Linked DNA regions of Neurospora crassa OR74A. The protein of the gene in region 1 purifies or fractionates together with the protein of each later gene. This does not show direct contact. Links are inferred from orthologs where the notes say so. Each region holds a gene or a part of one and is shown in the gene's direction. Other genes may lie near its edges.

Region 1 (4,110 bases):
TTTGATATGCAGCTAAGCATCACCTATGACCGCAGAGGACTACCTGGATCTCCAAGATGCCCAAGATTCTCGACAGCCTGACTGAGGCTTTGCGCATTTGCTGTCGAGCTCCCAGTCTCACTGATCTTGCGGATACACGTCGGCGGCTGAGTCGCTCGAATATTTTGCTCGTTGTTGACTGGATATCCGTTGCCTGTCGACCTGTCTTTATACTCCTTCGCTTCGAGCTGTTGTAATCATGCATACCGGGTGCTTGTGCCTGATCTAGGTGTAGGCCATGTAGCCAGGCTGCCCTGCCTATCATTGCGTTTGCGGAACCTGATGCTGATGGTGGGGGGAAACGAGCAAAGAGGACAAAGCCGGAATACCAATGCAAAGTAACAACAAGGCGACCAAGAAGGCATTCCCGTCTTTGCTATTGCCGTGTACATACCAGGTAAGGTGTCACACTCACAGTCCACTATCTCTACACAGGGAGGGGGAAGTTGGAGGGTTGGGAGAGATGGAAGTTCCAGGCGACACCCACCAACGGGATCGCAAGCGGCTTTTAGGCGAGCCAATCCCAGGCCTAGACCTGCCAAGGAGGGTCCGGTGTTCGGGACTCTTGCTAACAGAAGTGCTCGCAGTTGCGGGGGAAGGCAGCGCAGCTCCTACCCAGTCGCGTTAGTGAGCAACATGGACCGACCTATCATCATACCTGCTTCCCCAGAGGCGAGTGCATGCAATTTTTCTCGAGCCAAGTTGGAAGGGCCGCTTCACTGCAACTGGAAAGGGCACAAGGGCTCGGCCAGGATCTGACGGAGATTCAGAGCGGGCGCGAAACCTAGGTAGGTACCTACCTACCTGGCTGGCAACCTAGGTACCAACTACCTAACCTAGCTCACCCAATCTGAGCCTGTCCTTGTTTGGGTTATTTCAGCCGTAGGTAGGTATGTTTGAGTTTAAGTTGAGGGTTGTTCTGGCCTGCCATCGCGTCGGATGTTTCGAGTTTTTTTCGTTCCATGTCACTGAGTGCTGTCCTGTTCATTCCATCGATGTGGATGAGAGCCCAGTCGGCGGAAAAGATCACAACTGCACCGAAACCCGACCCGACCGGACGCCTGTTGTGGTTGTTGTAACGATAACCTGACTGGCAGGCACCGAGGTGACCTGACCTGGGCTTGAAAGAACGCGGACCTGGACCTGGACCTGCCTGCCTACCTCTACCTACTGCTCTCCACTGCTAGTAGGTAGTCTGGAAGCCCTGTGCGTTTCATTAGCTGCGTTGCGTGCGTGTAAATCTTGCTGCTCCATCGGCCCAGTAGCCCAATCCCTTCTCTGCGTCCCCGTCCAGTCCAGTCGCCAGTCTTCTCTACCTACCTACCTCTACCTAGCCCATCGCCCGGCCGGACCCCCCCCCCCCAGCAGCGGGCAGCCCAAGTGGAAGCGTCTGCGCTTGTCCGTCTCCTCCCAAAAGTCTCTAAGCAACCACCACCGACGTTGATTTTTTTCTCCCGACGCTTTCTATCCCAACCAAAACAGGGCGACGTCTTTAACCACAAAGAACGCGCATTTTCAACCCCACCCTGGCGATAGAAGTCCTATTATCATAGGCATCATCTCGCGGTATCTCGTCTTCTGGCCTCCGTCGCTCAATTAGACGCAGCTTTTTCCAGCGACCCTCCGACCGGCCCAGCGCTCTGTACTGCACCTCGCTGCAGCACTTTGCACTCTCCCGGGCAGTCCATCGACCAGTTTTTCCCGACCGTGGTTTTGGCAGTGGCAGTGACAGCCTCTCCCGCAGTCTCAGGACTACTTGAACTCCCCTTCTACACCCGACCTTTTCGAACCCAGATTTTCGACGACGACACGGCGTTTTGCCCCAGCCCCGTCCGCGCGACAAAAAAAAAAAAACACGTTACCTCACAAAGGACGATCAGAGACTTCTGGAGCCGTCTCCTTTTTCCATCATTGCTAACCCTCTTGTCGCCGCGTACTACCGGACCGATTTCTTCGCAATTCCGACGAGATTTGCTTGCGCTTGCTCTAGACCGTTCGCACCTCCGCCAAACCCAGTGACGATTTACTAAAACCAAAGCACAACATTCGGTATCCGAAAGAATACCTATTTCCAGAAAAAAAAAACACCAAAAAAATCACCGCTTGCTGTATTCCCAAGGAGAACGCGTTCGCCTCTCCAAAAAAAAAAAAACCCCCAACAATCGCTTCTTGCTGGGATCGCTTCTGAGCGTAAGTTGATCAACTGCCGTTACATTGCGGCTTCCCAGTCTCTGCCCAGCCGTCGCTCCTCCTTCATTTTCCCGCCATCGCGATCGCGTGCGGCAAACCCCAATCAGAATCTGCGTCGTCATTGGCAATGTCTAACGTCTTGAATTAGTCGTTTAGCTTTGCAGAAGTGCATCTACCCCAGTTTCCTACTCCTTACGCGTGCCGCTCTTTTAGACCCGTCCCATCCGACTAGCTGGGGTTTGTCGGTCGTTACCGTGACTTCGAAAACCTGTGCGCGGTATCTCTCCGGTTGGTGAGGATTTTGCAATGGCGGACCATACCGAAGTCGACCTCGACTCTATAATCGACCGCCTCTTGGAGGTGCGGGGCAGCCGGCCTGGTAAGCAGGTGCAGCTGCTGGAAGCCGAGATTCGCTATCTCTGCACCAAGGCCCGTGAAATCTTCATTTCCCAGCCCATCCTGCTTGAGCTCGAGGCTCCTATCAAGGTAAGCATTGTGTTCTTTCTATTATCCCTTTACATAGCCTCGGCATGCGCCATACTGCCCCTTCGGCAGTGTTCATAGCTGACGTCGTGCCCCACCTCCCTAGATTTGCGGCGATATCCACGGTCAATACTATGATCTCCTCCGCCTCTTCGAGTACGGTGGCTTCCCTCCTGAGGCCAACTACCTCTTCCTAGGTGACTACGTCGATCGTGGCAAGCAGTCCCTGGAGACCATCTGCCTGCTCCTCGCCTACAAGATCAAGTACCCCGAGAACTTCTTCATCCTTCGTGGCAACCACGAGTGCGCGTCCATCAACCGTATCTATGGTTTCTACGACGAGTGCAAGCGGAGGTACAACATCAAGCTTTGGAAGACCTTCACCGACTGCTTCAACTGCCTACCGATCGCTGCCATTATCGACGAGAAGATTTTCACTATGCACGGTGGTTTGAGCCCGGATCTGAACTCAATGGAGCAGATCCGCCGAGTCATGCGACCAACTGACGTACGTTACACCATTCATGCCCGGGCTTTCCGTTTGCTCAGGCTAGTTGCCGTAACATGAGACACTAACAATAGCGCCAGATTCCTGACTGCGGTCTTCTTTGCGATCTCCTGTGGTCGGATCCCGATAAGGACATTACTGGTTGGAGCGAAAACGATCGTGGTGTTTCCTTCACATTCGGCCCGGATGTCGTTTCTCGCTTCCTCCAAAAACACGACATGGATTTGATCTGCCGTGCTCACCAGGTTGTTGAGGACGGATATGAGTTCTTCTCGAAGCGCCAGCTCGTTACTTTGTTTAGTGCCCCCAACTACTGCGGCGAGTTCGACAACGCTGGTGCTATGATGAGCGTCGACGAAAGTTTGCTCTGCTCTTTCCAGGTATGTTTTTCTGACTTTGGCAAGCTCCGAGACCCTTGCACTCTTGCTAACCCCCTTTGCAGATTCTCAAGCCCGCAGAGAAGAAACAGAAGTACGTTCCCAGTCTCAGATGAAGCAATTCAAGACCCCCAAGAAGCACAAGTAAAGAATTTTCTTACGAACACACCCGTTTTCCTTTAGGTTCGGCCGCCGATAAACGTCTGATACTTTCGCCCGCCCGCAACGAACATGAGTATCTTACCGTCAGCTTGTCTACCGCCGCCATGTTTCCTGATCGCCAGGGCTCCCAGCCATCATCCCGTCTGCCGTCTGTTCCGACCACTTCTTTTGGGGAGGTCCTCGCCCCTCCTGCCGTGCCAACGAAACGAAAGCCACGTCTGCCCGTCCTGTCTCTCCATCCGTCCGGTCTCCACACAACTCGAGAGGGTAGGAAGGAAAGGGAATCTTTTTATATCTCGGGGGATGAATAACGAACGACCTTTTCTTTTTCTTGTCTGGTCACTACTCCTG
Region 2 (4,119 bases), on another chromosome or scaffold:
ATCGTCGCTCTCGAACGAAGGGCCACTGCTTGAGCGTCGACCATCTCTGGCGGATTTAACAAAGATCTCCACCATACCGTCGACCACAAGACAGAATCCTTGCTCTTCTTCGAGGTTGAGGGTTTCGCCAGCGATCAGCTTCCTCGTTTGCATGCTGCGGGTCAGTTCATGGAAAACCGGCCTTTCCAGATAACCAAAGATTTTGATGGCGCTGAGAAACTCGTCAAAGTAGCTAGCTAGCCCAGACTTTACTCCTTCCTCCTGTGTTTCGGGGAACAGATCAACAGCTGGCTCTTTGCGCTGGGGCTCAGGAGGAAGCCGTGAGTACATGTTTAAGTAGCGATATCTGACTACCCAGGTCACTCCTGCCATCATGAACAACATAATAAGCACACTAAGCATACCGACGGTTAGATCCACCAGCCTTGAGTCCATGTATACAAAATGCGGCTGGCGGATGACTTACAGCGTAGTGGCGTTCATGGTCACCGTCAGACTAGTCGAAAAGATGTTGAACAGAAAGGTGGGTGTAGTGATGGTGGTCAGCTTGATGACAAAGTATAGCACACTCGAGATGCGGTGCAACAGCCAGAGGATGATGGTGAACCATGAAGTCGGGGTGTGTTCGGGAACCACATCGCTAGTAGCTTTCGAGACCGCATCGCTGGCGAGAGCGACGACAGACGAGAGGGCTTCTGTAGGATCGGCGAGGATTGCCGTCGCAGTCGTGGACGTTGTCTCGGAAAGCACCGAGCTCATGGCGTTGCCGAGGTTGCTAAGAGACTCCATTTTCAGAAGCCTGAAGCACCAAGCAAGCAAGCCAAGAGTTACCGGGCGAGCCCGTCGTGTAGATCGGTTCTGACAGAAAGAAGAGAGTGTGTATGTATGTTTTTGTTTTTGTGTTTCCTTTTTTTTATAGGGTTGTAGGTATCGCGGTAGTGTCGCGCCGTCGTCGTGGGGATGGTCGTGAAGAATAGTTGGTGTTCGATCGATCAGCGTGTCTGAACCCCAAAAGTACCGTCGCAACCTGATCAAGACCTATGAGCTGTCCCCTCCCCGATGTGCCTGTGGTTGAAACCCAACTCTTACTACCTGGTCTGCGGTGTCGTCGCTCTGTTCTTTTTCATATCGGTCCAAGTGTTGTCACCCAAGACGGAGACCGTCGAGAAAAGCGAAACGGGTGAGCTCCTCCAAAAGTAACGACATGTGCGGAGGGTTTAGATGAGCCCAGTGTCGTCGGGTGTTGGTCGGCCCTCGGGATTCGTTTGGGTGCCGTGCAAAAGTCGAATCTCCAAGTCGCCGTTGGTGGACAAGCAAGGTTCAGTGATTGAAGCTCCCTAGCTCGACGATGTCCAAGGAAGATTCCAGGCTTATCAGTGACTAACCCCACTGTCGGTTCACGATTGACGTCGTTGTTCCTGCCCACTGAGCTGGCGCTTGGCACAGTGGAGTTCGGGGCAGGTGGAGTAAGTAGAGGTACCTAACCGAGAGCAGGTACCTGCCTTTGCGTACCGTTGTTCCCACCTGGGCTGCTGTGCGCTTCCTTACCTAGGTACCCGACTTACCCCACCTCAAAAAAAAAAGATGGAGCCGCGTCTCACTTGCCGTCACGGTCAGAACGTGAAATTCACCCCTCAATCCGGCGCACCAGCCACAGCCTACTTCGTTCCCTCCCAAAGTGCCCACGCCACTTTTGCAGCCTGTCTGCACGTAATTTTTGGTTGGTACCCGAAAAATACTGCGACGCATCTGGCTAACTTTGAGTGAGTCCTTTGAGCCTCGCTGGACCCTCCGAGAACCCGCTGCCGCAACCAGAACTCGAACTTCCAGAGGACCTTTCCCAGCTGTGGCCACTTGCAGCGAAACTCGGTCAATTTTCTTTCTCGGCCATCAACCCCTCCAGACCATCCACTCGAATTCCATCTCGCCCATTGTCGCGAAGCTCGTCGCCGACATTACCCTCCCCCTTTCAACACCACTAACACCACCACTTATTTCACCGTTTGCCCCGCCCGGGAAAAGGCACCAGTCGCCAACATGTCGCTCTCAAACTGCCGTTTCTATGAGGAGAAGTATCCTGAAATCGACTCGTTCGTTATGGTCAATGTTAAGCAAGTACGATACACTGGGGTCCCGGTGGTGCGCATGCGCATGTGGATGCGTCAGAGCTGACCCCCAGATTAGATTGCCGATATGGGCGCCTACGTCAAGCTTCTCGAGTACGACAACATCGACGGCATGATCCTGCTCTCTGAGCTTTCCAGAAGACGTATTCGTTCCATCCAGAAGTTGATCCGTGTCGGTCGCAACGAGGTCGTCGTCGTTCTCCGTGTCGACAAGGAGAAGGGTTATATCGATTTGTCCAAGCGTCGTGTGTCCCCCGAGGATATCGTTCGTTGCGAGGAGCGTTACAACAAGAGCAAGATCGTCCACTCGATTATGCGCCACGTTGCCGAGAAGACTCTTGTTCCCATCGAGCAGCTTTACGAGACAATAGGATGGCCCCTCAACAAGAAATACGGCCACTCGCTTGATGCCTTCAAGCTTTCGATCACGTACGTCATTCCGGGAAATAGGCGTACAGCTGTGGGACAAAATGGCGGTATTGGACAAGATGCTGACATGGATGTGAAGCAACCCCGACGTCTGGAATGACATCCAGTTCCCCACCGAGGCCGTTGCCGAGGAGCTCAAGACCTACATCAGCAAGCGTTTGACTCCCCAGCCTACCAAGGTCCGTGCCGATGTTGAGGTCACTTGCTTCGGCTACGAGGGTATCGATGCTATCAAGACCGCTCTCCGCACTGCGGAGGCTCGCAACACTGAGGAAACCCAGGTCAAGTGCAGACTTGTGTCCCCTCCCCTTTATGTGTAAGTCTTTGCCAGAAATAGTCTTGCAATGTTGAAGACAGAGTGGAAGCTAATAACTATACACAGCCTTACCAACACCTGCTTGGACAAGAATGCCGGTATTGCCCGCCTTCAGGAGGCCATTCAAGACATGCGGACCAGCATCGAGGCTGCTGGTGGCCACCTTGTGGTGAAGATGGAGCCCAAGGCTGTCACTGAGTCCGATGATGCTGAGCTCCAAGCTCTTATGGAGAAGCGTGAGCGTGAGAACGCTGAGGTCAGCGGCGACGAGAGTGTCAGCGAGTCCGACGACAATATCCCCGAGACCGTCTAAAGCGCCTCTTCATTTTGCAGCCATTCTTAAACGGAGCTATCTTTGCAGGCTCATTGGGATACTCGACACTATTTTGAGGAAAGGTTTAGGGATGCATGTATACAGTTTTTGCGACACAGGGCTGGCGTCTAGGGGATACAAAAGTCCTTCAGGCGGTAGAGGAATCAACCAAAAGATTGCATCAAGCGTATGCCTAATGAATGTGAGCGAGGGACGAGGATTGATGAACACAAGACTTGATATGGATACATAGTCATTTTATGGATGCACTTGCTGTAACTAGGTAGATCTAGGCGTTCAAGGATATGCAGCTACCGGGGCTGATAAGCGATCTCATCGTTTTCTTATCGCCGCCTGCCCGGGCATGTGGCTGCAATTATTGTCTTCTCCATGTTAACACACAAGCTCCGTACTGCTCACTGCCCTGCTCACTGAGCACGTTGAGGCGAACATACGCCCTCTATTTCACAGCAGCATTGCGATTCACAGCAAAGAGTTGCATCGCATTGACATCTTCGGTAGCTCGATAACTCGCTTGGTCGGATAGCGATGGCGGCGCGATGGGGAGCAGGAATTCGGAACGGATTCCTCGGTCAGTTCTCACACTACCTCATTCGCTACGCAACATGGATCCCTCCATTGGTGGTCTTCAACGGCTGGGTTGCCGAGATCACACAAATCAAGGGGCCGTCCATGTATCCTTTCTTCAACCCGCACTACAATGAGTCAACACGTCGGGACATCGTACTGGTCTCTAAGTGGTACCCGGACCGGAACCTCAAGCGCGGCATGATTGTGACCTTTAGGTGAGATCCAAAATCTCATCCTACAGCATCTGGCGTGCCGCATTCGGGGCATTGGTTGGGAACCTGACGACTAACTGTAACCCAGAAACCCACTGAACCCAAAGGGAAAGGTCGTAAAAAGAGTGGTCG
Region 3 (4,296 bases), on another chromosome or scaffold:
ACATCTTTGCCTTTATGAGCGGAGAATACTTCGAAATGGTAAGGGAGGGGATGGAACCCTTGCCTATTTCCATGTTGGCGCCTAGTGTGGAGATCTTCTATTACATAGTTCAGTGCAATATTCAATGGTTCCAATTGATGATCCGCGGTCAACAAACCTACCGCTAGAGGAAGTGATAATGATAGCTGACTACCCCCCCCCCCCCCCCCCCCCCCCCCCCCAAAACGACACAAAAAACATCAGCAGAGTCCAACTATTTATCACCCAATCCCTCTGATAGCCTCCATAGACATCCGCTTTGAAGTGGCACCAGGAAAGCTTGACATCGTCTTGATTCCGGGACCGGAATCCTTAGCTTGACCTCTAAGAGGGCCCAGCCGCTCTGTCGTGGCTGGCAGGGCATGCGAACAACACCAGTAACAACCAGACGAAAATGACAGACATCCTAAGCGTCTACTCAGCCATCTACCTCTGCGGTGCGGCCGGGATACTCAAAAGCAAGCAAGCCTGTGGACCGCGAGAGTTGCAAGGAGATCTGCGGACGAGATTCGAGGACCAGGACGTTATTCGGGTGGCGGAGAAGTTGAGGTGGGTGGGGGATGGGAATCTTTGGCTTATTCTAGTGGTTTGTTTTCATCCCTTCCTGACTAGGCCCAGAAGACTGGGCCGACATTCGATGAATACTATAGGAGGCGTAACCAACGGCAATGATCTCGTTGCGGCTTACGCGAGGCAGAGCCGTCACTTCCCGGGCCCAGTGGCTAAGTCGGGATTGAAGCTCGTTAAGGTGGATGAGAGGCCGCAGAGATATGAAAATCGAGACAAGATCTAGAGACGATTGCGTTGATGATGGGATGACTGTGGCATGCTGGGTTATCAAGGTGTGCCTGAAGGTTCAGCCAGGGGCTTACCTAATCTTGCTTTGAATCCCTCAGAAATGCTTTCGTTGGTGAATCCTCTCACTCAGGTGGAGTGAACCGTGAGCCTGGGGGACCGATGTGATGTGGGATGGCATCGCCGGGAGACTCCAGACATGTACCTGTGGTGCATGGTGTTCATTCTTATACCTCCCACCTGATGCACTTTGCTCTGGCACCAATGAATCCTGCAGATGGCAAAAGATTGCAGTCCCGCGGCGACCACCTTCAAACCTCGAGTCGGTGATGACGAGTTGCAGTTTGAACATCCCGTCGTCGCAAGGTTCCCATGCCAGCTCTAGGCACATCAAGCGTCCGCGCACGACGTTAGCGCGGAGCTTGTCGAACTCTTCCCCGCTTTTGTTAGCAGACCGGCCTGCATTGACCGACATACCCTTGCTAGCTTGGCTTGGGGAGCGGGAGAGTGGCAGTGAACCGATAAGGAAGTCTTATCGCTACAGTAACAGACAGTACAGACGGTGGGGTGCCGAAATTTTTCTGGATTCCAAGTGCAGTTCGCCTGAACTTTTCCTGTCGACCGCCCTCGTCCTCGATCGCATTTTCTGCCTTTCCCAAGTCAAACTGGTCGCATCCATCTTCAGACTTTTTCTACCCAGCCCATTCATCTTCTTTCAATCTTAGAAGTGTATACTTCCGACGACGACTTCGAGTTCCTGTCTCTTTAGTTTTCTTTAAAATCTAGACTTTTTGATACCCCGGCGCAAAGCACCACCCAATCTTCACAATGGCCCCCCTTATGCCTGTCGCCGTTTTTGGCTTGGAGGTTCCTCCTGGCGAGATCCTCATTCCCGCCGCCTCTGAGTTCCCTGCTATCGTAAGTGCACACTTTTCGGAGCCTTTGGCCCTCTCCTTCGCAGGCAATGGCGCTCCACTGGACTGGGTTACACGGAGCTAACGACATGAATTCCAGATTCACATCACCATGGCCGCCCTCGATCCCACCAAGGCTCCTGAGGCTGACGGCCAAGGCAACATTCCCGCGCTCCCCCGCTCGACCCTGAAGATCATCAAGGCCACTGGCCACGACCATGACGACGATGATGAGGAGGAGGATGAGTACCTCCAGTCCCTCCTCGGCGGCGGCGACTCTGACGACGAGGCCAACGGTGGTCCCAGCGACCCTTCCAAGTCCAAGAAGGCCAAGCAGGAGGCTGCCATCAAGAAGCTTATGGCTGCTACCCAGGAGGAGTCTGATGAGGAGATGGAGGATGCCAAGCCCAACGGCAAGAAGGGCAAGGGCAAGGGCAAGGCCAGCGAGTCCGACGAGGAGGAGAGCGACGAGGAGAGCGACTGCTGCGGCGATGATGACCTCCAGCTTGAGGACTACGTTGTCTGCACCCTTGACACTGAGCGCGTAAGAAGCCCCATCCATTCGGTGAACGTATTTTTGAGTTCTTGGAGCTAACCTGATTCCCCATATACAGAACTACCAGCAGCCCATCAACATCACCATCGGCGAGGGTGAGAAGGTCTTCTTCTGTGTCCAGGGTACCCACTCTGTCTATCTCACCGGTAACTTCGTTGTTCCCGAGGATGACGAGGAGGACAGCGAGGATGATGAGGATGAGTCCGACGACGAGGATTACGACTTTCCCCTTGGTGGCGAGGATGACGATTCCGACGATATGAGCGACGAGCTCGACGAGCTCGATGGCACCCCCCGTGTCAAGGAGATCACCTCGGAAGACGAGGAGGAGGAGGCTCCCAAGCTTGTCGACACCAGCAAGAAGGGCAAGAAGCGCCCCGCCGAGGACGATGCCGAGGGTCTCGATGCCATGATCTCCAAGGACGACAAGAAGCTCAGCAAGAAGCAACAGAAGAAGCAGAAGGTTGAGGAGGCCAAGAAGGAGGAGCCTAAGAAGGAGACCAAGTCCGACAAGAAGGTCCAGTTCGCCAAGAACCTCGAGCAGGGCCCTACTGGCCCTGCCAAGGACAAGCTTGAGAACAAGAAGCCTACCTCTACCGTCAAGGTTGTCCAGGGCGTCACCATTGATGACAGGAAGGTTGGCACCGGCCGTGCCGCCAAGAACGGTGACCGTGTTGGCATGCGCTACATCGGAAAGCTCCAGAACGGCAAGGTCTTCGACTGTAAGTCTCACTTTTCCATCACTCTCACAGTATTGACTAGAGACTAATATTCAATACAGCCAACAAGAAGGGTGCCCCGTTCTCTTTCAAGCTCGGCAAGGGTGAGGTGATCAAGGGTTGGGACATCGGTGTTGCTGGCATGGCTGTCGGTGGTGAGCGTCGTCTCACCATCCCCGCGCACCTTGCCTACGGCAGCCGTGCCCTTCCCGGCATCCCCCCCAACAGCACTTTGATCTTCGACGTCAAGCTCCTTGAGATCAAGTAGATTGTGACGTTTCGAAGCGTGGGGTAGGAAGGCTTTGGCTAGCGTCGCGATTTCTATGGCGGTTGTCATCCACAACCTTTCGTGTTCTATGGCTAGCAAGTCTTGGGATTTCTTTGGTCAGCACATATTTCCTTGCGCTCATGTTGGGTTTGGTCAAGGAAGTGGGAATGTCATTTCAACAGCATAATGTCAAAAGTATTGGGTCTGGATTTCTTTCTGTACTTTGGGTTGTACATCGTTCATGGGGCACGATCTATTCTATATTGCGTCTATCAATTGCAAAGGCGCAACATTTCTACGTTACCTACACTCGACTCGGACTTGGCAAACTTGGATGTTTCGAGATGTCGAGGAAAGTGTCTTTGATTGACGGACGGTAATAACTTCCAGGAAAGCGTGACAGTTGGCTACAAACACTGGCTTTCTTCAGAATTGAAGTCGTACCTGCCCTGTCTGTGCCTCAAGAGGTCAGTGTTGTTGACCTGGGGCAAGGGAGGCACATCTAATGGGTAGGTAGTTCAGGTGATGCATAGGTATGGAGCTACCTTACTCCGAGTCGTCCTCTCTCACTGCACCTTGTCGTATTTCAACACACTGACAAAGTCCATCCACGTCTTCCCACCTCCCCGCTCTGCTTCCATCTCTCAATAGGTATCGTCATTGTATCTTTCACTATCATCATAGCCGCCGCGACTCCCGACTGCCGCCAAACTAGGCATTGTGCGTTACGATCGACCAACTTAGACGCCGCAGCGGTTTCTACCATTCAATGGACAGGACCGAGCTTGAGACATGAAGAGGAGCTCTTCCCAAACATCAAGTCATTTGGGTACCGCCATCCCGGTTTATCGTCCCACTAAGCCTGACGACTGCTCGCCTAGGTCGTCTCTCGCTTCTTCTTCACCCAGTCAAGGTGCCCATCGCCCATCGAGATCTCACTGGCAGAGGTCAAGGCTTGGTCTGGCTTTAAAAGCCCTCACTCATAACGGTCAGTTGAATGAGAAT
Region 4 (4,373 bases), on another chromosome or scaffold:
GAACCTGCATGTTATAATAGTATCAGTCGAACCTAAAGTCAGCAATAGTAATGGGTATAATTGGCATTGTCTGATGATCAGATGTATCTGCAGAGCTTCAACGCTTGCTTCCACAAGTATAACGACAGTCCACATGCATTCTACACATGTCTGTAATTCTTCACCACCAATGCAACGCAAACTGTGCAAGAACGAAACATACCCCTTTATGCTAGTGTTCCCATACCGTAACGCCAAAAGAGCACTGTGTCCACCCCTGGTATCCCAGATTATACCGAAAAAATAGGGTATCGAGAATTGTGCTGCCGTCGCCTTTGACTCGAGTACCTCATCACCACGGTCGCCTGTCTGCCTCCCTCATACTGATACTGGCGTAGCAGCTCCTATCCAACCGGCAATGTTGAATAGCGTCTTGTTATACCATTGGACCTTGACCCCGTGCGCCCACTCCATGTACCGTCCCCAACCTGCCGGGCCATGTTAGCAACTGACTTTCCGCATCGTCGTTATTGTCTCCTCCCACAGCGCAAGCTGTCTTTCCCAAGATCTGGTTTTGGTTTGTCTTACTCCAATAAGCAAACTTGCGCCCCAAAAACTTGCCCGCGAACGGTATTAGCACCAAGTTCAAGAGAAGCTGCAGCTGCTCGAGACTCTGTTCCCATTCCTTTTGTGCGTCTGATTCGTCGTCGTACTCGGAGTCGTCCGAGCCTAGGATACTGCTGGAGATGGACGGGAGGGAGTCGACATCGTCGTTGTCGGTTGACGGGGAGTGGTCGTGGAGGACGTAGGAATCGGAGGGGGTGGACATGGTTTTGGATGTCCCGAATGCGCAATTTGTCTGTCTGAGGGTATCGCGTCTCTGGCCGGGAGTAGGTAGCTATCGTCAGTGTGGTTTGGATGAGGCGAGCAAGTGGTCGGCGCCGGCGCACGGTCGGTTGTCGCGGTGAAGATGGTACTGTAAGTAGCTATCGTAGCTCGGGCAAATTGCGATAGTTCGGGATGGAGACACTGTACGAATCGGCGTAACGCCTGACGTGTAGGATATTGTAGAAATCGCGTGGGACGAACTTGATTGCTGCTGGGAGATTCGTTGTCGGTTACGAACACAGCGATACACGGAGATGGATACCTCTACGGACTCGGCGCGCCTTCCAAGGTTCGTGATGGAGCTGGTTGTTGTCGGTGACCGATGACGGGCCACGGCACCAACTGCTGCAGCAGTGCAGCTATGCGATGCTGGAATGGACACCACTCACCTATCGCTGCCGCCAAGCACTGCACCGGACTGCAAGTGCCAGTGCCAACCCAACCGTGTCGGACTGTGCGGCCGTGGCTCGAGCGGGTTGAAGGCACCGTGCTGCAGGGAGGAGGGCTGCATGGCCTGGAAAATGGAGAAGCGGAGGCGATTTGTAGTTGCAAGTGGCGGGCAGCTGTCTGAGCTCTTCCCACCCCACTTGTCAGGTGATTGAGAAGACTGACTCACAGTTTCGCTTCAATCAACGTCATGAGGTGAACACAGCTGAGGCGTGGTGCCGGTGCCCCATCCAGAGCCGTGTGTACAGAAAGAACTCCGCTCAGTCTCCAGCCCAACGACAGAACTAAACGACAGTAGTAGTAGGTAACCAGACCAGGACCCAAGCGGCATCCAACTACCTAGGTCCCCGCAAAGAACAATTCCAGGTCCGAAACTGAAAGAAAGCTGAGATCAGTCTGCCTGCATCGATACCTCTCCCGACCCCAAAGTCTACCTAATCTCATCCATCGACAAAATCCACTCTCTGCGACCAACAAAGAGTCCACCGGAAGAGACATCGATTACAAAGAAAAAGACGGACAATCACACACCTACAGACAGACAGACAGACACCACCACACTCTCAAACACACCAGTGGCCCAGCATGGATTCTGAAGTAAGTACCTGGGATGGATCTCCTTGCTTCAGTACACACTCACTACCTCTACGCCCACACAACACACCCTCCGTCCTCCCCGACCCTACCACCACGCTAGAGGCAGACACCTCGAGCCCTGGGGGGAGCCACGCTTCTCGCCTAGTCAAAAATACTAAGGAAATAAAAAGTCCCATTCACCACACTGCACACCCCTCACTGTACTTTGCTACCTACGCAGTGCAATTATACCTATCCCCGGCCCCAGCCCTCAAGTCCCCTGACGTGTACTGCCCCTCCAAGGCGCCAACCCTCTCCCTCCACCCCCAGCCCAAAATCCACCATAAAGTTCTGGCACTCTGCAGCGCGAAAACGCCGCCAATCATCCCAAAAAATTCCGAGCTTTCCTATCCACACTCGACGGCGAAATCCTTGACCGCTATCGCGACTCCCACGACAAGCGCCTTATCCACTCCGATATACTAACCCTTTAGGCGCCCTCTATCAAAAGACGCCCCTCGCGCAAGTCTGTCACCTTTACCGACGAGAAGCTAGTTGTCAACCCCGACGGTTCTGTCACCATGGACGCCTCTCCCGCCGACGAAATCAAGGAGACTGCCCAGTCCCACTCTGCTCGTACGCCGCCCCTCCACGCCGCTCTCGGGGCCTTTACTGATGCCCCCCAAGCCACCGAGCCCCAGGATGCTGCTGCTGCTGCCGCCCCCGCCGCCGATGATGGCCTCGACCTTTCGCTCATGAAGAAGAAGAAGAAGAAGGTCAAGAAGGAGGACGATGCCGACGCCGCTGCTGATGAGGCCGCCCCTGCCGAGGGTGACGGTGCTATCGACCTCACCATGAAGAAAAAGAAGAAGAAGAAGGTCGTCAAGGAGGATGATGAGTTCGCCAAGAAGCTGGAGGCTCTCAACATTGAGGGCAAGGAGGGCGAGGAGGCCGCCCCCCAGGAGGACGAGCAGGAGGGCGATATGGACCAGGGCACCGGCATTTGGGCCCACGACGAGACCAAGCCCATCAGCTACAACGCTCTTCTGTCCCGTTTCTTCGCCCTTCTCTCGCAAAAGAACCCCGACCACGCCTCTACCGGTACACGGTCGTACAAGATCCCGCCCCCGCAGTGTCTCCGTGAAGGCAACAAGAAGACCATCTTCGCCAACCTGCCCGAGATTTGCAAGCGCATGAAGAGAGCCGACGAGCACGTTACTTCTTACCTTTTCGCCGAATTGGGTACCAGCGGTTCCGTCGACGGCAGCAGGCGTCTGGTCATCAAGGGTCGTTTCCAGCAGAAGCAGATCGAGAACGTTCTGCGTACCTACATTATCGGTATGTCTATTTGATCCTGTCGTCGTTTGGACGTTTTGCGCCCAAGTAGACAATGTCACCACCAGCACCCAACGTTTTGCTCTGACTACAAATGCTAACATGCTCAACAGAGTACGTTACCTGCAAGACGTGCCGTTCCCCCAACACCGAGCTCTCCAAGGGCGAGAACCGTCTTTAGTAAGTTGGCCTCTGTTTACGACGACCATAGCCCCAAAATGCTGACATGTCACAGTTTCATTACCTGCAACTCTTGCGGTTCTAGGCGGTCTGTCCAGGCCATTAAGACCGGTTTCTCTGCCCAGGTCGGCAAGAGAAAGAAGATGCAGGGTTAAGCGGTTTTTGTTTTCTTGTTTCGAGGCCCTTGCAGTTTGCTTTTCAATGTTTTCACGCTTCAAGGACGGAGTTAAGACGGCATTGTATATGGCTGGTTGGGCACGGGTCTTTTACGAAGTAGCACGGCCCCTCTGAACGGCAATCTCTCATCTCCAGTACACGAGAGAGAGGATGGAAGAGAGAGTCTGTGCTACAAAATCAGGTGAATTCCTTACGCGGTAGGGTACGGGTTAATATGACGATACTTGATGAAGAATTGGTACACAAAAAGTTCTGGTTTTTGATGATGGTGGCACACTTATCCTTACTTTGCATAGGGAGTCTGATAAAGAGGAGGGCTTTCTTCTTTTCCTGAGCTTGTCTGATTTATATGGATGAGGGCTGCGAGGTTGTATCTAGACTGATGTGGGATTCAGAGGTTCTCAGGTCATTCATGACCATGGTCAGCAAGCTAGACTGGGAGAGCAAGGAAGAGGCTGACTGAGCGCAGGATTACGAAGCGATGGATTTTGAGATCTTGCGAACAGGAATTATTCTCTGTTCTTTGCAGTATGTATAGCCATTCAGTCTACCTTTATAAACTACATTATGTTATCGAAACTCAAAGTGGCAGTTGAGTAAAATGATAAACCTTGATACTCCGCGATTGGTGAGAAAAAGCGGCCGCTTAGGTTCGAAATCTCACCTTGACGCGTATACATTGCGTATACACTACGTTCCGATGTTTTGGCGATCGATCCATGATATGCCGAGCACATGCATGATAGTTAGCTTCGGGAGAATCTTTCCCCTCCACATTTTGCATCAACAAA
Region 5 (4,338 bases), about 1.7 Mb from region 1:
ATGAGCGAGCTGGGGCTGGGTGGTCGATGGAGAGGCGCGGAGTCGGCGGTGCGATGGTCCAGCTTCGGGTCCTCGACGGCCGGGTCGGTGCTGCCGTGGATAGGCTTGTCGGAGGAGAGCTCGATGGCGGTTTCGGCGGCGACGATGCCGCCCATGGAGTGGCCGACTAGAACGACGCGGACCGAGGGATCTATGGTGGGCGATGAGGTTCCGGCGGCAACTTCGAGGTCGATGACTTTATTCATGAGCCTGTGATAGCGAGGGCGACCCATGTTAGGGATGGTTCGGGGCTTCAAGCATGTGACAGATGAAGGAACGGATGCGGTCGATGAGCACATACCAATCTCGAAATCGCGCTACGCACTCGCCCAAGTCCCCTCGAGTCTCATATTTGGGATATACCACGACGTTGACGTTTATCTTGGGTAGGTCGGCCGCGACAAGTTGGCGGAGGTGCTCGGTGAAGGCATAGTTGTCGCCAAAGGTCGACTCACCTCCCTTTGCATGACAATGTCAGTTTGATCTTGGCTGGCGCGTCGCTTAATCTCATTGTACATACCTTGAAGCCGTGGATGAAGCAGAGAAGTAATGTCTTTTTCATCCTTCCCCATTGAGACTAAGCAAAGTGGAAGTGGTGCAAAATGGATGTAGTGTAGGGGAGGCCGAGAGAATCCAGATGCGACACCCATGTAAACTTTCAACGTTGCCCCGGCTGTTACGGTGATCCTCCATCTAGCGGCAGCGTCATGTGCAGGGGCCTGCAGGGCCAGTGTGGGGGCGGGGCCGCGCTATGGAAGGGACCTCCCAGGGGAACTCCAGTGGATGATGCATGGACACCTGGTCCGGTCTTGCCCTTGCTTGCCGCTTGGGGCCAGATCCCATCTTCCACAGGGGCCGCGGCAGCTTTGAAATGTCATCTGTTCTCCAAATCCATACTTCTACTCTATCGTCATTTGACCTTCACTCCGATGGTACGTACCTAGCATTAGACCAAAGTTGAATTGGTACTTACAGCCGATATAATAGAATACGTCCCTGAATATTAGACCGATGTTTACTGCAAAAATGGAACTGATTCTGCCAACTCACCTGTCCCCATGGCGTTACTCGAATGTACTGTAAGATGCCCAGAAGTGGACAGACGGACATCCTACGCCTACCTACCTAGGTACTTGAAGGAACAGGTCGGGTTGTCTGGGGAAGACCTTCTTCTACCTGAAATGCGGCAGTCCAGCGGCCTTTGCAATGTGACGATTGAGCTTTTCAGAGCTTGACTCCCTGAATTGTCGGAACCAAGACACCAAAACCTAAGCCAACATGATACCCGTCTTATTATGGTGGGGGTACCAAAGTACTTGAATTTCAGTGGAGATTAGGTATCCCCGTGCGGGTCCCAGGATACTCGTCAGAGGTTTACGGGTGATTCCTGCAGGTTGCATTTCAAGTTGCAGTGTCCAGCGTCTCTGAAATAACAGGACATTGCTTCGCGCCAATCATGCTGCCAGACTTGTGGTGAGTGGGAGTCCGTGCTCAACACCCAGGCTGAACCGAGACGCGCCGAGTCGGCGACGTGCTTTTTGTCTTCTGCGACAACCTACCTAACGCAGCCCCTTCATCCATCCCCATCGATCACCCTGTCTGGTTTCGGCTTCTCCGACTGCCCCAGGGTCGATATCAGAATCAATCAGCTATCCGGTATCACCATCTTTCGAATCAACAAAAAGCACAGCATATCATGACCTGAGCGTTCTTTGCCTTACGTGGAGCTGCTTGGTTCCTTCTGTTCAATCCCATCATAGACTTCTATTTTCGCCCGTCAGCGTTCTCTCACTGCGCCTGCGCTCCTCTCTTTTGCGCGCGCGATCCAGTTTTCCTCTTGTCGCGACCAGCGTCATCGATCAGTCCTGCACGACATATTTCGTCTTCGATACTCTTAGCGGCGCATCCAGCACGCTTCCTCGTCCCACCGCGCTTCGTGCCACCATGTCGAACCCCGAACAAACCTTGGGCGTAACGCCTCCTATCTCGACCACGCTACCTACCGACGCCGAGAAACGACAGACCGAGGCCCTTCTCAAAGAGCTGCGCGCGCAGGGCACCTTCGAAAGTCAGGCCGAAACTGATAAGCGATGGGCGGTGCTCGCAGATCTCCAGCGCATTACTGATGAATTCGTGAAGAGGGCCGCGCAGGAAAAGGAGCCGCACAATGCCATTTTGATTCGCGACGCTCGAGGCAGAATATTCACATATGGCAGTTTTCGCTTGGGTGTGTATGGGCCAGGATCCGATATCGATACCCTCGTCGTTGTACCCAAGTACGTCACCGTCAAGCAATACTTCGACATCTTTCCCAACCTTCTTGTCGAAATGGCTCCCCCTGGCGCCATCACCGACCTGACTCCAGTACCCGAGGCCTTCGTTCCTATCATCAAGTTCGAGTATTCGGGCATCAGCATAGATCTTATCTTCTGTTCAATCCAGAGCCTTCGTCAACTTCCTGACGACAAGGACTGGAATTTGAACAGTAACAACCTCCTGCGCGGCTTGTCCGAAAACGAGGTGCGCTCGCTCAACGGAACACGCGTAACCGACGAGATCCTTGCGCTGGTTCCCGAAGAGAAGACGTTCAAGCTGGCACTTCGTGCAATCAAGCTCTGGGCTCAGAGAAGGGCTATCTACGCCAATATCATGGGTTATCCTGGTGGTGTGGCTTGGGCTATGCTGGTCGCCAGAGTATGCCAACTCTATCCGAAGGCGACGAGTGCTGTCATCGTCAGGAAATTCTTCACTATTATGCTCAACTGGCCATGGCCGCTCCCGGTTCTTCTGAAGAATATCGAATACAACCAGTCCATTACGCGTGTAGCGGTGTGGAATCCCAAGGTAAGTCAACCCCTCATCATTGTCGCGCTGATGTCTCACCACAGACTAGATATACCCGAGTGATCGCAATCACAAGATGCCCATCATCACCCCATCATACCCTTCCATGTGCGCGACACACAATGTTGGAAGGTCTTCAATGGCGGTCATTCAACAGGAGCTGGAACGGGGGGTGCAGATTTCCGAAGAGATCATGTTGGGTAAAAGGCCTTGGAAAGATTTGTTCGAGAAACACACCTTTTTCACCAACGGCTTCAAGTTTTACCTGACGGTCATCTCATCCGGCAGGACCAAAGAGGCGCAGAATACCTGGTCGGGCTTCGTCGAGTCAAGAGTGCGTGTTCTGGTCCAGAAGCTTGAGCTGCACCCTTCCATCGCCCTTGCCCGCCCCTTCAACAAAGGTTACGACAGAGTGCACCGATGCAAGACGGATGCTCAGGTCGAAGAGATTCAAACCGGAAATCTCACATACATGGTCAAGCCGACGGATATAGCCGCGAATGGGAGCGCCAAGAACGACAGCAAGGTTGAGGTCAAGGCGGAGATCAAGACGGAGGATGGTGTTGCACGGGAGCCGACTGTGCCGGCTGTCAAGGAAGAACCGAACGACGTGGTACATCTAGGAACGGTACCTCTAAAGCCTGAGGACAACTCTGTAAAGCCTGAGGCCAACGACTACGACGAAGACAAGGTTAAGCTGGAGGATATACCGGAGAAGGAGCCGGAGCTTGAGATTTACACCACTAACCATTACATCGGCCTGCAGCTGGTAGAGGGAGCTAAGTCTCTGGATCTGTCCAGAGAAGTCGACGACTTCAAGGCAATGTGCACCTCGAACGACATCTTCAAAGCAGAGTTGATGGGATTGACTATCCAGCACGTTAGGAATTTCGATCTCCCCGACGACGTTTTCGAGCCTGGAGAGACGAAGCCTGTTAGGCCAGTCAAGAAGAAGAAGCGTATGGCCGAAGGGGAACATGCGAACGGCCCGATGGCCAAGCGACAACAGATGGCGACCGCGCCACCGACCATTAAGAGCGAACACTGATCGAAGGATGTACAGACAGATTTTGTTGGCGGTCACGGACAAATTAGTTGCTATGTGCGAGCAGTACCACGCGCGAGGTGTAGAGAAATGTATCTAAGATAGAGTTGCTAAATCTGCTAGACTAATAAATTTAGTTTTTCGGGGCACAAGTGCCCCATCAACTAAGCCAAGTTTCCATCTCGCAGTGGTCTTTGCGTCCGTGACTTTTCATCTCACTTCTTGCTCTATTATACATCATCTTAACAAATTCTTTGCTGCGTCGATTGCTTCTGCTAATGAATTGAGCTGTTAGTTCCGTTGTACTCGGGGGAAAACGCCATATGCGCCTCAGTATGTCAACGTCAAAATGCCAGCAGCCAATCAAAGCTTGCACGTTCGCCCCCGTAGATCGTCGGTCGCATGTCCTA
Region 6 (3,449 bases), on another chromosome or scaffold:
CCACCGTCTCCTTCTCATGGACAGCGTATTGGCCCCAGTGAACACCGACGAGGCTGATGTTCTTGAGAAGAACCTTGTTCATGGCCACCTTCTCGATCTTGCCGGCAGCGAAACCGACAATCAGGATGCGGCCATTCCACGCAGTACATTTGGTGCTCAGATCTACCAGGCCGACAGGATCGTAGACAATGTCAACACCCTTGCCTTTAGGGGTCAACTTCTTCACCATCTCGGGCCACTTGGGGTCCGTGTAGTCGACGACATGATCAGCGCCAAAGGACTTGGCGACTTCGAGCTTGTGCTTGGTTCCGGCCGTAGCAATGACAGTTGCTCCAAACGCCTTTGCAACTATGTGTGGGATTAGCAACGAAGTAGTTCATCTTCGAGACGGGTATGTATGCCACTAACCTTGGACTGCGGCAAGACCTACACCACCGGCCGCAGCGTGAACAAGGACGAAGTCGCCCTTCTTGACGCCGGCCCGAACAACAAGGGCTCCATAGCTGGTTGGTGCCGTCACAAAGAGGCCGGCAGCATCCACAAGCGACCAGCCTTCGGGAGCTGGGAGGAGGGCCGTCTCCTTGGCTTTGACTTTGGTAGCGTACGCACCCTGGCTAGCTCCAAACACACGTGAACCGACGGGGAACTTGGGGTCCTTGAGGCCGGAAGGGGTGGCGAGAACCACGCCGGCGAACTCGGCACCTGATACCCAGGGGAATGCTAAGACGCAACGTCAGCATACTGAATGCAATGTAAGCGGGACTCAATAAAGAAGCCGCACGTGGTTGATTCTGGTATTTGCCCTGAATCTGAAGAATGTCGAAAAAGTTGGTTGCCGCAGCATGAACTTCAATCAAGTACTCATCTGAAGTAGGTGTAGGGTCTGGAAGCTCCGTGACCCTGAGCTCTTGCGGGCTCTGAGTTAAGGGCTAATGTTAGAACCACGAAATGGGAAGATGTCCTGGATGATCGAGATAGGACATACCTTAACATACTGTGCCACCTGAATGCCTCTCATCTGGGAAGGATACCTGGAGTAATAGAGTGCTTTGTTACACTGGAAAGAAGCAGACGCAGAAACACCGAGTGAGATACACAAGCAGTGAAAGAATGACAACCTATATGATTAAACAAGGGTACAATATGGTTGAACAAATGCCGAATAGCCATCGCGGGGGTGACCGCTAGCCCAGTGTAAGGGAAGCCGAGGTAGCCCAGACCGGGATAGCTGATCTCTGATTGGTCACTCACCTTGCATCTCTCGGTGAGTCCACGTCTTATCGATTTCCAACAATCGATTTGCGACTTGTTGCACTCTTTCTCTCCAAACTCTCAACCACACCTTGCTTCAATTTTTTGAATGGCGCAACCTGCTGTGCGAACTTCTCCCGACCAAAGCCGAATTTGAAACTGGGCAAACGCAGCAAAGAATACGACTCTTGGTTAAGCGTGCATAAACACAAGCCACGCGCATTCTCTAGGCAAGATTCATTACGACTGGTCGCCCAGCTACATACCTCTCCGAACCGATCGTGAACCGCTCGCGACAAAACAAGCCTACCCACCTTGAAGCCCGAATCGCACCGGCGAACCACCTTTTTCCCCCCCTCACACATCCGCCGAGATGGCGACAACAACACAGACAACAACAAACTCCCTCCCCTCTGGGGCAGGAGGACCGCAACAACTCGTCACTCAGATGCTCAACCACACCGCGCCACACTATACCTTCTCCTTCACGCCCTTCCTCCAGCGCACGTACCAGCACTCTCTCCCCGCCGACCGACCCATCTGCAAAGCCTACGCCTCAGGCAACTGCCCCCTCAAATCCCACTGCCCCGAGCGCCACGTTACCGCGTCGTCCCAAAACACCCATGGCGGCGGTAACACCTTCAGCGGCGGCTTCGGCTCGCTAGTCTGCAAGCATTGGCTGCGCGGCCTCTGCAAAAAGGGCGAATCGTGCGAGTTCCTGCACGAGTACAACCTGCGCAAGATGCCCGAGTGCAATTTCTTCGTCAGGAACGGGTACTGCAGCAACGGGGACGAGTGTCTGTATCTGCACATTGATCCGCTGTCGAGATTGCCGCCGTGCCCGCATTACGAGAGGGGGTTCTGTCCGCTGGGACCGCGATGTGACAAGAAGCATTTCCGGAGGAAGCTGTGTTTGTATTACCTGGCGGGCTTCTGTCCGGATGGGAAGGGCTGCAAGGAGGGCGCGCATCCGAGGTGGACGGCGGATAAGGATATGGAGAAGCCGAGGGCGAAGGGGGAGGGAGATCAGATGCTGCTGCAGCAGCAACAGCAGCAGCAACAACAACAACACATGGGCGATGCTAATGGTATGGGTGGTGGAATGGCGCAGGCGACGGGCGCGAATGAGTATATGGACCGAGAGAGGGAGCGCGATCGGGATAACAGGGAGAGGGAGATGATGATGCAGGGACGCGATAGGGACGGTGGCGGGCATGATCGCCATAAGGATCGCTTTGGAGGCGGAGGAGGAGGAGGAGGAGGAGGCAGAGGCCGAGGAGGATGGAGGGGAAGAGGAAGGGGAGGATTTAGGGGTAAAGGTCATTAAGAGAACATTGGTCCCAAAGCGGCCAGGGGAGGTCAAATGGTACATGAACATAGCGACATATTTAGGCTAGTGCTCGGACGATGAGAAGGCCCAGGAATCCGGTAGTAAAGACCAGGTATGCATCACGGAATAAGGAATAGGTCACGGCGCAAAGGCAAGGTTATATCTAGTGTATTAGCTGTAGGTCAGGTTTACATTCACAGGGTTTGTGAGATTCTTATAAAAATTGCTAGCTTGACAGTTTTGAGGAGCTGTGATCTGTATGTTCTTCCAAAATAGACTGAGAGGGACGAGATCCCAAAACATGAACGCCGCTCCCTACCTAGGACACCCGTAACCAAATGATAATCAACCCACCGTCTGAGATGCTATGGCATATGCCATTCTTGTCGACACTGCCTTCTTTTGTACTCTTCCAAACTATTCCCATGAAGACTTTACTCCATCGGCACCGCAACAAACAACTCATTCGATGTGCGGGCCCCAGTCCCCACCTCCTCCTCATCCCCATTCTCGCTTCCCATAGACCTCACCGAGCCACCCGACCTTGGGCTATTAAACGAGCTATGACTCGACTGCCACGCCGCCAGCTCGTCCACCGTCCGGATACCCATCATCCACGCCACCAGCCCGCGCGGCACCCAGCGTCCGACAAACCCATACACGCTCGCGCCGAGGCCGACGCGCACAGTGCCCTTGGTAATGGACCCGTCAATCACGTCAAAAACAGCATTATGCAGCTCCCGCAACGAGCTGCCGCGCATCCCGCGGATGCGGCCCGTGCTAATGGCCGAGCTCGACTGGGTGACAAAATTCTTGCCGTAGGCGTGGCGGGCCGAGTCGGGCCAGGGCAGCAGGGACTCGGCGTCCT
Region 7 (3,663 bases), on another chromosome or scaffold:
TAAGGGCTCTGGATTCTGAGTGTTTCGGTTTTAGGCCGAATTCGTTAAGGGATCCCGTGTGAGGGACGCAATGTAGAAAAGATAGTGGTGAAAGTGTGCGAAGGGGCACACTGGGGTAGCAAGGTGGGCAATTGTCAGCTTAAAGAGCTTGTATAGACATGGAGAGGCCTTGTGTGGTCGGCAAGCTGAGATGAGCGATTGCGAGCTGTCAATATAGACAGGGTATGGTGGGAACGGAGGGGGATTCGAAGAAAAGAGGAGAAGAAAAAGAGGCAGAATCTCAGGCAGGAACAGGTAGGTAGATTTGGGGGGGGGGGTGCCGCATCAAGTTACTACCTCTACTTACGACGGGATACCTCTAGTACAACTTGGACAAAGTTAAGCGCGCTGCCGCAGGTTTACTCCAGGTTTAGGCCTGCTCCTCTCATTGGCAAATAGCAACCGCTGGTCACCTGCAATCAATCAGTCGAACCTCTGAGGACGGGACTCGGTCGCCTTGGACCAACATACCTAACCTCTTTGCTTATCCTGTTAGTGTCGACCTAGACGATGGCTGGCAAATTTTTGGGTAACGAATCGGGGTTAGGTATGGGGGGCTCAAAAAGTCCACTTCAGAGGACAGCTCTCGTTGACAAAGGCGGGCAACTTGCAGGACACACTGCAGTTTCTGTGTGTCAACCACGGAGATTAAAACTTGAATTTGATTTTACGCCCAAAATACCTCTACGTTCTAACACATATCGAAACAGGATATACCACGCGGGTAATACTGCCATTTGCAAATGTACTTTCTACGTGTGCCTCTATTGTTGGTTAACATGTTCCAACGAAGAAAAACTTCGCACGAAACTCTCAACTTCCCGTCCCAACAGGGATGTTTATCACTGCATGTTTGTGTCCACCATTGGATGTTCTCGATGCCTTCGATGTGGGTGATTGGCTCCGTGAATGCGTCCCGAACAGCAACGTGGTACCCATGGAATTTCCCAAGGCACTAGCTATGAGTTGCGCATTCCCTGTGTGGGACCTTTTAAGAAAAGTTATTGAAAAGGTAAGTTCCAATGTTCTGTGCACGATATTCTACAGTGCATCGATACGCATGGTGACCGAGGCTCGAGGCCCGTGAGGTTTGGGTCCTGGGAGAAAAAAAAAATACCTGGGGATCGTCTCACTGTGATTCTGCAGTGCATATCCGCGGACCGCTGCAGACTCGAGAGGTGGGGGAAGTTGACGAGAACGGAAAGAAGGGCAACGGGCTGCAAGACGCACGAGCCACCCACCATTTCACTCTGAAACACTGAAACGTTCTAATTTTGGAAAGCGGTCAGATGGGGCACTATGTGCGTATGACCACCACTTGTCCCTCGCAGTCGGTAACCAAACAGATTTGTTCCAAATTCCACATCCCACTTTTCACCGTCCAAAATCTCCGCGCCAGCAGCAACTGGTGAACAGGTTTGGACATCAACGACATTTAACAAGTTATATATGTGTGGTAGCAGGCTACCTCGACTAACTTAATCATCATCTGTCTGCGCTTTGCGCTCAGCTGAAGCTTGAAAGGTAATTCCTGCGCTCTTTTCCGCTCTCCCTTTATCAACCGTCTCTTTCCTTTATGATGATCTTTTTATTGGAGCTGTCTGTAGCCTGCTATGTCTGGCGTTTGATGACAAACTTTTACATACGCTTTTTTTATCTGATGTGTACCGAGGACAACCTACACTTTTGCACTTGCCATGTCTGTATCGCAGAAGGGAACGCATTGATAACTAACATTGGCATCTTGCGCTTTCTAGGTCTTTCCAGTCAAGCATGCCACATCTGCCACAGTAACAAGTTACCTGCAACTGCCGGCTATGTCTGCTGTAGATACCCCAACTGGTGCCGCGAGCTCATCGAAGCCGGACCAGAATGAGCAGAATGGTCAAAACGGTGGGCGTGAAGACTCTGGCGGCTTCAAGCTAAAGTTTTGCACCGTCTGCGCCAGTAACCAGAATCGGTGAGCAATTTTACGCATCGCATCGTCACGCAACTGGATGACCCCGTCTAACCCTCACCAGCTCCATGGAAGGTCACTTGCGACTCTCTCTTGCAAATTATCCCGTGATTTCGTTTGGTACAGGCTCTCTTGTCCGTCTCCCCGGGCCGTCCATTACACAGCCCAATGTCTACAAGTTCAACGAAACATCATACGATAGTATATATCGGGAGTTGGAAGCCAAAGACCCTCGCTTATATCGCGCAAATGGACTGCTAAACATGCTTGGGAGAAACCGCCAAGTCAAGTGGGGCCCTGAGCGATGGCAGGACTGGCAGATTGGAATGCCTAGAACCAAGCACAAGGATGACAAGGGAGCTGATGGCATGGAGGGCGGCGTAGCTGATGTTGTCATCACCTGTGAGGAACGCTGTTGGGATGCTGTGATTGAAGATCTTCTCAACCGTGGCTCGCCACTTAACAGGCCTGTTCACGTCATCAACATCGATATCAAGGATAACCATGAAGAGGCATCCGTGGGAGGGCGAGCCATTGTCGATTTGGCAGACTCACTCAACAAGATTGCTGCCGAGGAGCGGGAGAAGGTTGGCGCTTCTGCCTTTGACTCGGGAAGCGTAGGCGCCAGATCAGGATTCGATGAGCGCGTACCGGACGTCCTGGCCGAGTGGCAGGAGAGATGGCCGAATCTTCCTGCGACATGGACTTTGGCTTGGTTCTAAGCATTGAATTGGCGTATTGTTTGAGCTCGTGCATCGTAAGGCGTTGGATGTTCTTTTTATTGCCTGGCGGGCGTAATCGCGGTTACGGACAGGGTGGGGGGTACATCTTTTTGGGTTCATGATTGATGACCAAACAACACAGACGAACAAGACGTTTTGGCCGTCACAACATAATGCTGATTTGGACTCGTAATCTCTATCAACAAGCCGTTGTTATCCGGGATTTATGAATTCTGCTGCTGCCATGATTGGCTTCAACTTGCTATTTTGTGAGGTCGCACCCCTCCTGGTTTTCTCAGAATATGTCGACCTCCGTGATTTGGCAGGCCATTTCCTCTTCCACCAGCCAGACCGCCAATTAAGCATTTTGTTTGTTACGCATATGCTTACTTCTATCACAAACATAATAATATCGCATGCATACATGCTCGGAGATGGGAGCTCATCGGCCCACCTGACGAGTACCCTGCATGGTATCCCAAAAAGCATTTTAAGATGACGAGCCGCACGGTTCATTATACGCAACATTGGATGCAAAGAAAACATAGCAGAATTTTGGAGATCTTCCTTGCTTATTGGGATCTGGGGTACTCAACGGTTGCCAGCATCTAGAAAATATCGAAACATGCACAACCGGGCAACCGGCCGTGCCCCCGCAGTGAGCAGGCCTACTTGTGACAATGCAACTAAACGCGCGAAGGTCAAAAATGAAATACATGGGGCTGTGGTGGCCATTGGACACACACTTGGAAGACGAAGACCATTAAGGTTACTGCTAATGCATGTTGTCACTACCTATCATGTTGGGGTGTTGGGCGGGAGTGCCCGAGGTCGAGGTGGCATTTGATGTGATGCGGGTATGCCTACATACCCATGTGGATAAATCTCAATATCTATATCGTCGGTCTCAAGTAAGAATTGCATTGTATTTCGGCAGACGATTGC

Evidence for each region.
Region 2: the proteins of pph-3 (region 1) and NCU08277 purify together in Saccharomyces cerevisiae (affinity purification with mass spectrometry; 4 studies listed by BioGRID, with this or other methods). This does not show direct contact. The link is inferred for Neurospora crassa OR74A from reciprocal best matches to the Saccharomyces cerevisiae genes GLC7 and SUI2.
Region 3: the proteins of pph-3 (region 1) and fkr-4 purify together in Saccharomyces cerevisiae (affinity purification with mass spectrometry; 4 studies listed by BioGRID, with this or other methods). This does not show direct contact. The link is inferred for Neurospora crassa OR74A from reciprocal best matches to the Saccharomyces cerevisiae genes GLC7 and FPR3.
Region 4: the proteins of pph-3 (region 1) and NCU04640 purify together in Saccharomyces cerevisiae (affinity purification with mass spectrometry, with the first as the bait; 3 studies listed by BioGRID). This does not show direct contact. The link is inferred for Neurospora crassa OR74A from reciprocal best matches to the Saccharomyces cerevisiae genes GLC7 and SUI3.
Region 5: the proteins of pph-3 (region 1) and un-17 purify together in Saccharomyces cerevisiae (affinity purification with mass spectrometry; 5 studies listed by BioGRID, with this or other methods). This does not show direct contact. The link is inferred for Neurospora crassa OR74A from reciprocal best matches to the Saccharomyces cerevisiae genes GLC7 and PAP1.
Region 6: the proteins of pph-3 (region 1) and NCU08353 purify together in Saccharomyces cerevisiae (affinity purification with mass spectrometry; 3 studies listed by BioGRID). This does not show direct contact. The link is inferred for Neurospora crassa OR74A from reciprocal best matches to the Saccharomyces cerevisiae genes GLC7 and YTH1.
Region 7: the proteins of pph-3 (region 1) and NCU03114 purify together in Saccharomyces cerevisiae (affinity purification with mass spectrometry; 3 studies listed by BioGRID). This does not show direct contact. The link is inferred for Neurospora crassa OR74A from reciprocal best matches to the Saccharomyces cerevisiae genes GLC7 and SSU72.

Annotation. Positions count from the first base shown.
Region 1 is NC_026503.1:2,384,643-2,388,752, reverse strand, and holds the start of pph-3 (serine/threonine-protein phosphatase PP1), read left to right. Parts: upstream 1-1,266; 5' UTR 1,267-2,229; intron 2,230-2,377; 5' UTR 2,378-2,535; coding exon 2,536-2,715; intron 2,716-2,818; coding exon 2,819-3,220; intron 3,221-3,300; coding exon 3,301-3,600; intron 3,601-3,662; coding exon 3,663-3,691; intron 3,692-3,780; coding exon 3,781-3,796; 3' UTR 3,797-4,110.
Region 2 is NC_026504.1:2,569,549-2,573,667, reverse strand, and holds NCU08277 (eukaryotic translation initiation factor 2 alpha subunit), read left to right. Parts: upstream 1-1,600; 5' UTR 1,601-2,037; coding exon 2,038-2,115; intron 2,116-2,184; coding exon 2,185-2,555; intron 2,556-2,634; coding exon 2,635-2,871; intron 2,872-2,937; coding exon 2,938-3,184; 3' UTR 3,185-3,575; downstream 3,576-4,119. Other genes in the region: NCU08276 (hypothetical protein), read right to left, coding at 1-394, 467-789; NCU16791 (mitochondrial inner membrane protease subunit 2), read left to right, coding at 3,734-3,990, 4,076-4,119. UniProt on the Saccharomyces cerevisiae protein: eIF-2 functions in the early steps of protein synthesis by forming a ternary complex with GTP and initiator tRNA. This complex binds to a 40S ribosomal subunit, followed by mRNA binding to form a 43S pre-initiation complex.
Region 3 is NC_026501.1:5,029,232-5,033,527, forward strand, and holds fkr-4 (FK506-binding protein 4), read left to right. Parts: upstream 1-1,403; 5' UTR 1,404-1,662; coding exon 1,663-1,752; intron 1,753-1,848; coding exon 1,849-2,292; intron 2,293-2,362; coding exon 2,363-3,026; intron 3,027-3,085; coding exon 3,086-3,291; 3' UTR 3,292-3,931; downstream 3,932-4,296. Other genes in the region: NCU16390 (hypothetical protein), read left to right, coding at 434-588, 652-832. UniProt on the Saccharomyces cerevisiae protein: Proline isomerase that belongs to an abundant class of enzymes that catalyze the cis-trans isomerization of X-Pro peptide bonds and can accelerate the refolding of proline-containing polypeptides. Specifically binds nuclear localization sequences.
Region 4 is NC_026505.1:1,363,918-1,368,290, reverse strand, and holds NCU04640 (eukaryotic translation initiation factor 2 beta subunit), read left to right. Parts: upstream 1-1,533; 5' UTR 1,534-1,899; coding exon 1,900-1,911; exon of another isoform or gene 1,912-2,384; coding exon 2,385-2,526; intron 2,527-2,577; coding exon 2,578-3,228; intron 3,229-3,338; coding exon 3,339-3,405; intron 3,406-3,460; coding exon 3,461-3,560; 3' UTR 3,561-4,207; downstream 4,208-4,373. Other genes in the region: NCU16952 (hypothetical protein), read right to left, coding at 358-467, 568-808. UniProt on the Saccharomyces cerevisiae protein: Component of the eIF2 complex that functions in the early steps of protein synthesis by forming a ternary complex with GTP and initiator tRNA.
Region 5 is NC_026503.1:4,130,947-4,135,284, reverse strand, and holds un-17 (Poly(A) polymerase), read left to right. Parts: upstream 1-1,423; 5' UTR 1,424-1,983; coding exon 1,984-2,883; intron 2,884-2,932; coding exon 2,933-3,931; 3' UTR 3,932-4,154; downstream 4,155-4,338. Other genes in the region: NCU08984 (hypothetical protein), read right to left, coding at 1-249, 341-498, 560-601. UniProt on the Saccharomyces cerevisiae protein: Polymerase component of the cleavage and polyadenylation factor (CPF) complex, which plays a key role in polyadenylation-dependent pre-mRNA 3'-end formation and cooperates with cleavage factors including the CFIA complex and NAB4/CFIB.
Region 6 is NC_026501.1:5,653,974-5,657,422, reverse strand, and holds NCU08353 (mRNA 3'-end-processing protein yth-1), read left to right. Parts: upstream 1-1,304; 5' UTR 1,305-1,624; coding exon 1,625-2,578; 3' UTR 2,579-2,815; downstream 2,816-3,449. Other genes in the region: NCU11325 (alcohol dehydrogenase), read right to left, coding at 1-348, 409-720, 782-917, 986-1,018; NCU08354 (hypothetical protein), read right to left, coding at 3,016-3,449. UniProt on the Saccharomyces cerevisiae protein: RNA-binding component of the cleavage and polyadenylation factor (CPF) complex, which plays a key role in polyadenylation-dependent pre-mRNA 3'-end formation and cooperates with cleavage factors including the CFIA complex and NAB4/CFIB.
Region 7 is NC_026501.1:4,604,474-4,608,136, forward strand, and holds NCU03114 (SSU72), read left to right. Parts: upstream 1-1,398; 5' UTR 1,399-1,563; intron 1,564-1,796; 5' UTR 1,797-1,856; coding exon 1,857-1,999; intron 2,000-2,060; coding exon 2,061-2,718; 3' UTR 2,719-3,149; downstream 3,150-3,663. UniProt on the Saccharomyces cerevisiae protein: Component of the cleavage and polyadenylation factor (CPF) complex, which plays a key role in polyadenylation-dependent pre-mRNA 3'-end formation and cooperates with cleavage factors including the CFIA complex and NAB4/CFIB.